2 linked regions of the Callithrix jacchus genome follow. The protein of the gene in region 1 binds, or shares a complex with, the protein of each later gene. Links are inferred from orthologs where the notes say so. Each region holds a gene or a part of one and is shown in the gene's direction. Other genes may lie near its edges. The genes, in order: GLE1 and NUP42.

The links.
Region 2: the proteins of GLE1 (region 1) and NUP42 are in contact, whole or in part, in a crystal structure (PDB 6B4I), measured with the Homo sapiens proteins. The link is inferred for Callithrix jacchus from reciprocal best matches to the Homo sapiens genes GLE1 and NUP42. Residues at the interface, in NP_001003722.1 of Homo sapiens: Ile385, Ile593, Leu598, Asn599, Trp602, Arg603, Ala606, Gln607, Leu609, Asn610, Gln636, Tyr637, Gln638, Val639, Gln640, Lys643, Met644, Ile646, Leu647, Glu650, Asp651, Tyr652; in NP_001357375.1 of Homo sapiens: Asp185, Asn186, Val187, Leu188, Phe189, Gln202, Phe203, Gln204, Ser205, Lys206, Lys207, Phe208, Leu210, Gly211, Lys212, Ile213, Pro214, Leu215, Lys216, Pro217, Pro218, Leu222, Leu223, Asn224, Val225.

The regions. Positions count from the first base shown.
Region 1 is NC_133502.1:177,136,972-177,140,414, forward strand, and holds part of GLE1 (mRNA export factor GLE1), read left to right. Parts: intron 1-2,365; coding exon 2,366-2,448; intron 2,449-3,012; coding exon 3,013-3,076; intron 3,077-3,443. UniProt on the Homo sapiens protein: Required for the export of mRNAs containing poly(A) tails from the nucleus into the cytoplasm. May be involved in the terminal step of the mRNA transport through the nuclear pore complex (NPC).
Region 2 is NC_133512.1:34,948,773-34,953,142, reverse strand, and holds the start of NUP42 (nucleoporin NUP42), read left to right. Parts: upstream 1-1,539; 5' UTR 1,540-1,641; coding exon 1,642-1,762; intron 1,763-4,370.

The DNA.
Region 1 (3,443 bases):
AAGAACAGAAAATTGTACATTCTAGCAAAAGTAAAAAGAGGAATTTATTTTAGGGATATAGAAGTGACTCCCGGCCGGGCACGGTGGCTCAAGCTTGTAATCCCAGCACTTTGGGAGGCCGAGGCGGGCGGATCACAAGGATAAGAGATTGAGCCCATCCTGGCCAACATGGTGAAACCCCGTCTCTACTAAAGATACAAAAATTAGCTGGGTGTGGTGGCATGCGCCTGTAGTCCCAGCTACTCGGGAGGCTGAGGCAGGAGAATTGTTTGAACCCAGGAAGCGGAGGTCGCAGTGAGCCAAGATCATGCCACTGCACTCTCCAGCCTGGTGTTAGACCAAGACTCGGTCTCAAAAAAAAAGAAGTGACTCCCAGGCTGGGCACGGTGACTCACACCTGTAATCCCAGCACTTTGGGAGGCCAAGGTGAGCAGATTACATGAGGTCAGGAGTTCGAGCCCAGCCTGGCCAGCATGGTGAAACCCTGTCTCTCTACTAAAAATACAAAAGAAATTAGCCACGTGTTGTGGAATATGCCTGTAATCCCCGCTACTCCAGAGGCTAAGACAGGAGAACAGTTTGAACTTGGGAGATGGAGATTGCAGTGAGCTGTGATCGTGCTATTGCACTCCAGTCTGGCTGGGAGACAGAGCAAGACTCCATCTCAAAAAAAAAAAAAAAAAAAAAAGACTCCCAGAAACAAGAATAGGATGTGCAGGTGCATCTCAGTAGGGCCTAGAACCAAGAACTGAAATGTCACCAGGCACCAAGACAGTTTCTCCTTGGAGCCATATGCTCTTAACCTTCCTGCAGGTTGCCTCATTCCTGGTCTGTAGGCCAATTTGCCCTGTTTCTCTGTGTACAGTGAAGAAAGTGGCTATTCTAGGCTATGTCACTCAGCCTCAGTGTGGTCACTCAGTGTGGTGGGACTGGCATTTCACTGTTCCGATTCCTAATTCCTAGGAGAGAAAATATGATTAGCCAGCCTGGGGGTCGGGTATCTGACCAACGTAGAAGGCTCTATAAACAGTTCTCTTTTTTTTTTTTTTGAGACAGAGTCTTGTTCTGTCACCAGGCTGGAGAGCAGTGGCGCAATCTCAGCTCACTGCAACCTCAGCCTCCTGGGTTGAAGTGATTCTTCTGCCTCAGCCTCTCAAGTAGCTGGGACCACAGGCGAGTGCCACCACACCTGACTAATTTTTGTATTTTTAGTAGAGACAGGGATTCACCATGTTGGCCAGAATGGTCTCAATCTCTTGACCTTGTGATCCGCCTGCCTCAGCTTCCCAAAGTGCTGGGATTACAGGTGTGAGCCACCACCTCCAGACGGCTCTATAAACACTTCTATCCGCCTATAAGGGACCACTATTATAGGGTGAGGGCAAGAGTTTCTATGGAAAGGTGACACTTTGTGAGGTTTTTTTTTTTTTTGAAACAGGATATTATTCTGTCACCCAGGCTGGAGTGCAATGTTCATAGGTCACTATAGCCTCAAACTCTTGGGCTCAAGTGATCCTCCCACCTTAGCCTGCCGAAGTGTTGAGATTACAGGAGTGAGCTATTGTACTCATCCAAGAAGATAGTTTTTATAGAAGAAAGGTTGGGGTACCTGCCATAACAAATCTGGAACCATTTGACCTATAATGCTGTAGTTCCTTATTAAGCTATTAGTTACCTTAATAGCTCCTGAAGTCACCAGGTGCAGTGGCTGACACCTGTAATCCCAGTCTTTGGGAGGCCAAGGCAGGCAGATCACTTGAGCCCTGGAGTTCAAGACCAGCCTGGGCAACATGGTAAAAACCCTATGTCTACAAAAAAATACAAAAATTAGCTGGGTATGGTGATGTGTGCCTGTGGTCCCAGCTACTAGGGAGGCTGAGGTTGGAGGATCACCTGAGCCTGGGGAGGTTGAGGCTGCAGTGAACTGTGATCACACCAGTATACTCCAGCCTGGGCGACAGAATAAGACCCTATTAAAAAATAATAATAAAAAGCTCCTGGAGTCACCATACATGAACAATGATCCTGTATCATTTGAGAACACAAGTGGTATTCTGTATACTGTGCTTACTAAGTTTGAGAGGTATACCATCCCTTTAGGAAGGCTTCCATTCAGTAGAGAAAAAGAAGATTAGTTCATTAAGACCTGACTGTCTGGCTAAATGAAGGTATTGCTGCATAAAGAGAAATGCTTTAGAAGAAAGTTGGGTATTTCCATTTATTCCCTTAATAGCAAGTTTAGTGGCATTGTGGCTGAAAGTTTTGATAGGTGTGAAAGATGAAGGGCTGATTGTGCTTTATGAATCTGTCCTGTGAGTGTGAATTTTTCATTCTCTGCTCTGACAGTGCTTGTCTTTCCCTCTAGGTGTGTGGGAATGCCCTCATGAAGCAGTACCAGGTTCAGTTCTGGAAGATGCTAATTCTCCTCAAAGAGGACTACTTTCCCAGGTATCAGGCTTGTTAGTCAGACAACAGGGGATTAAGTAAGTAAAACTCATAACCAGCCTCAGATACCAAAGGGTGCTATTACCTGCTGGTTTTGATTGAAGTTGAAAACACCTGTACTAAGAATGACATCTTCCTACCAGTCCTTCTCGTTGATATTTGAATAAATGCTTCTGAACCTGAATGAGAGTCTGTTTTAAATATCATTGTCTAAACAAAAACACAAATTAAGGGCTGGGCATAGTGGCTTATGCCTATAATTACAGCTCTTTGAGGGGCCACAGCAGGAGGATCACTTGAGCCCAAGTGTCCAAAGCCAGCCTAGGCAATATAGCAAGACCCCATCTCTACAAAAAAAAAATTAGCCAGGCATGATGGCATGTACCTATAGTCCCAGCTACTAGGGAAGCTGAGACAGGAGGATCGCTTGAGACTGGGAGTTCAAGGCCTCAATGAGCTATGATCACACCACTGCACTCTAGCCTATGTGACACAGTGAGACACTGTCTCCAAAAGACAGGTGTATACCATAGCTGTGATCCGTGTGTCTTCTTTCTCTCCCTGTAGAATTGAAGCTATCACAAGCTCAGGACAGATGGGTTCCTTCATACGCCTCAAGCAGTTCTTAGAGGTAAGATGCTTTTAGACCAACATGTCCCACACTGTTGTTGGGCTGGAATGCACCTGTGTCTGACAAGTCTTGGACCTTCAGATTTTCTGATTGCACTCTTCCTTAGTTTTTCCAAACACTTCTTTTTGTTCCTAATTCTCTCTTAACCTTTGGAGTAAGGGTTGCCATTACCTCTTTATATGTATCATTCTGCATACTGCCTGTAAGAAAGCTATGCCAAGATGAATAAAATATATTTAATGTATCTCCTCTCATTAATATATTTTTTGCATGTTGCCAGCGTTCTTTTTGGTTGTTGTTGTTGTTGTTTTGTGTTTTTGAGACAGAGTCTTACTCTGTCATGCAGACTGGCTGGAGTGCAATGGCG
Region 2 (4,370 bases), on another chromosome or scaffold:
AAATATTTGGGTGATGAGGTATTAGGTCTGCAACATAGTCTCAAATGGTTCAGAAAAAAAAAGTTACTTGTACTACAAAGGAAATCTTCTCTGACCACAGGACAGAGGACAAAAAAGATTTTTAAAAGTTCTTTGTACTGTTATTTGTAACTTTTCCATATATTTGTTTCAAAATAAATGAATTACATTGATTAAAGAAAATAAAAAACTAGTTTGGACAAGTAGTTCCCAGTCCTGTAGATTCTAGTGTCTTCAAAATCCAAACAAATTACATGAGCAAGAATGATGGCTCACTTCCACTCCAATACTCCTAAAACCACCAGCACAAATCTGTAATCCAACAAAGTCAGATTTACTGACTTATTGCAGGCACTGAGACTGCACACCAGAGGAGCTGTGGGGTGTCTCACTGTACAAAATAAAAGGTAGTTATTGTAGGGTTTTTTTTGCGGGGGGGAGTGGGGAGAGAGAAGTTTAGGTGAAATTTAAACAAAATCTCAAAGCATAGCTGTGTGTAAAGGCATTAACATCAGGTCCGGACCGAGAATTGAATGTAGGGCATGTTTTCTTGGAAACTGCAAGATTAAGAAAATATAGAATGTGGCCGGGCGCGGTGGCTCACGCCTGTAATCCCAGCACTTTGGGAGGGCAAGGCAGGTGGATCACGAGGTCAAGAGATGGAGACCATCTTGGTCAACAAGGTGAAACCCCGTCTCTATTAAAAATACAAAAATTAGCTGGGCATGGTGGTGCGCGCCTGTATTCCCAGCTACTGGGAGGCTGAGGCAGGAGAATTGCTTGAACCCAGAAGGCGGGCGTTGTGGTGAGCCGAGATCGTGCTATTGCACTCCAGTCTGGGTAACAACAGCGAAACTCCGTCTCAAAAAAAAGAAAATATAGAATGTTTTCAGAAACCGTTTATCTGAAGCTCTACACCTGCCTAGAAACTGAGGCTGCTTCTCTGCGTCAAAGAGACTTAGAGCCTCCAGGTAAGTATGGGACGTTTCACTTGTTCTGATATAATTTCAAATAGCAATGTTTATGTGGACTTTCAAGAACACGGTTTCTCAGTGAGTAGTAAGAATATAGTACTCACTCGAAGAAGTAATAGTTTTCCCTTGCAGTATATTCTAAAAGAAACATTGTTTCCTGTTAACGTCACGTCTAGCTTTATTTGACTCTGTTATCCATCCAGATGAAAGGCCGGGCAGACTTACTAGAACGACTCGGTCTATCAAATCACAACTAATTCTCTCAGGGACTTGCTGAATTCCGCATTTGCCTGCTCCGCCTTCCTCTCATTTTGAACCTCAAACCTTCCTGTAGTCCGAGGCCCTGCACTGGGGTCAAACGCGCCTCCCGTTCTTCGCCCTAACCATTCAAGTATCCCGCCTTCCCAGGACACCCTCAAAGCGACAGAGCGGTCGCTCTTCTCAAGTTCAATTGGCTCAGATCCTATTGGCTCAAGTTCACACCTCTCATGGCACCGGGCGAGACAGGAAGAAAAAAAGCCTTCCCCAGGCGCGAGAAGATGACGTCACAGTAGCTCGGCCGGGCGCCGCGGACGCCTGGGGTTTTCTGCCTACTGACTGGCGTTGACCGGTGCCGACCGAAGACTCCTCCGTCAGCGACGCCATCGAAATGGCCATTTGTCAATTCTTCCTTCAAGGCCGGTGCCGCTTTGGAGATCGGTGCTGGAACGAACATCCAGGTGCCAGGGGTGCAGGAGGAGGACGGCAACCACCGCAGCAGCAGCTTTCAGGTGACTCTCCTCCGACTCCTCCGCGGTAGCCAAGCCAGGATGGGCCCGCTGGCGGGGACCAGGCGACCCGCGTGTGTCCCGGTGCTGGTGACCCCAACGTGCCCGCGTCGCAGCCTTGCCGGCCCCATTCAGCGGGCCCTGCACGATGTTTGTAAACCGAGGGTTTTATCTGCTTATTATTATTATTATTTGAAACGCAGTTTCGCTGTTGTTACCCAGACTGGAGTGCAATGGCACGATCTCGGCTCACCGCAACCTCCGACTCCTGGGTTCAAGCAATTCTCCTGCCTCAGCCTCCCGAGTAGCTGGGACTACAGGCGCGCACCACCTTGCCCAGCTAATTTTTGTATTTTTAGTAGAGACGGGGTTTCACCTTGTTGACCAGGATGGTCTCGATCTCTTGACCTCGTGATCCACCCGCCTCAGCCTCCCAAAGTGCTGGGATTATAGGCGTGAGCCACCGCGCCCGGCTATGTGATCGGTTTTTATTGAGCTTCTGAGAACTGGGGTTTGGGCCTGGATGCTTGTGTACGAAACAGTGAGTTTTTAAATCGGAAGCACCTATCGAAATTACTTTGTAGGTGAATGACCGTCATTGAATATAATTTTTACTAAGTTGTTTTTTCGATGGTGAGGCTAGCAGCTTGGGTCAGAATCAGGACTTCTCATTTTAGAGAAGTTGTGGCCTTCTTTGAAGATTTGATAAAACCTATAGAGGCATACCGCAGAAAAATTCACCTGCTCATAAATTTGGGGTGAAATTGGGAAGGTGGGACGCCCAGTTAAGAATTCTCCTGGTTGCCGGGCGCGGTGGCTCAAGCCTGTAATCCCTGCACTTTGGGAGGCCTAGGCGGGTGGATCACGAGGTAAAGAGATCGAGACCATCTTGGTCAACATGGTGAAACCCCGTCTCTACTAAAAATACAAAAAATTAGCTGGGCATGGTGGCGCGTGCCTGTAATCCCAGCTACTCAGGAGGCTGAGGCAGGAGAATTGCCTGAACCCAGGAGGCGGAGGTTGCGGTGAGCCAAGATTGTGCCATTGCACTCCAGCCTGGGTAACAAGAGCGAAACTCGGTCTCAAAAAAAAAAAAAAAAAAGAACTCTCCGGGTTACGTAGAAAGGGGAGATGGGGGCCACGTCGAATCTACTCCCTGGGCCTAGATCATTGTCAGAACTTTTTGTCTTAAAGGAGAGTTCAGACATGAAACCTTAGAACAACACAAGATTTTAAAGACCGAGTTAATAATTTGGTGCTGTCTCCCTTCCTTCCCCTCCTTTAGGGCTATTCATCTGACCTTTATTTTTTTTATTTTGAGACGGAGTTTCGCTCTGGCTCCTAGGCTGGAGTGCAGTGGTGGGATTTCAACTCACTGCAAACTTTGCCTCCCTAGCTCAAGCGATTTTCCTGCCTCAGTCTCCCAAGTAGCTGAGATTACAGGTGCCCACCAACATGCCCTTTAGAATAAGATACTATTAACTCCTACTTGAGGGATCTAGTGTAGCAATCTCTTTTCTTTGTCGATTTATTAAGGTAGTTAGAGTTGCAGGATGAACTTTCACATGTGGGCATATATGTCATTCCAACTTTTAATATATTTCATGCTGTATCACCTAATTCAGTTAGAAACAAGATGAGTTACCTTACTCTTGACACTAACTAGGAAGTGATAAGTAAATGAGATTACTAAAGTGGTTAAGTGTGTGTGTGTGTGTGTGTGTGTGTAAAGGAGAAAATCTTTTTAGCTCATTTTTATATTTATGAAATATTGGAAAGCTACTCATAGAGGAACTACATCCATTTTGTTCACATGTGAATACCTGGTATAATCTCCCTATGAAAATAGCTGTGTAGGTGGTTGCCCAAAGAAAAGACTGAATCAAATAAACTTAGGCATCTATCCAAAAACGGGGTAGAAGCTAATCTTTCATGTTCAAAAAACTTTCATTCAGTGTCTATTTTTCAGCCTTTACTACAATACAAGGCCTGGTAGGGGAGCAAAGAATGATGAAAACACAAGTTCTTATCCTGAAGGAGTTTATGATTTATGATGCATGCCCTCTATCAACTTCACTATCTGCAGTTGTTTAATAAGTTTATGTTAGCTGAATATAGTAATATCATTATTTTTCTATATTTCGCTATATTATTTTCTTCTCAATCTCAAACAAAAATGCAGTTGACCACTATGTGATTTGTTGATATTACAACCTAACTATGTAAATCAAAAATGAAGAGATTGTCATTTAAAATGAGTGGAAATGTAATGCTTGTTAAATCTTTCTATAATGTCTAGTCATACTAAGACACAATTAGGATTTTTTTTTTTTTTTTTTTTGAGACCAAGTTTCACTGTTGTTACCCAGACTGGAGTGCAATGGCACGATCTCGGCTCACCGCAGCCTCCTCCTTCTGGGTTCAAGCAATTCTCCTGCCTCAGCCTCCCGAGTATCTGGGACTACAGGTACACACCACCATGCCCAGCTAATTTTTGTATTTTTAGTAGAGACAGGTTTTCACCTTGTTGACCCAGATGGTCTCGATCTCTTGACCTCGTGATCCACCGCACCCAGCCCACAATTAGGATTTTTGAGATTTAAAAGAACAA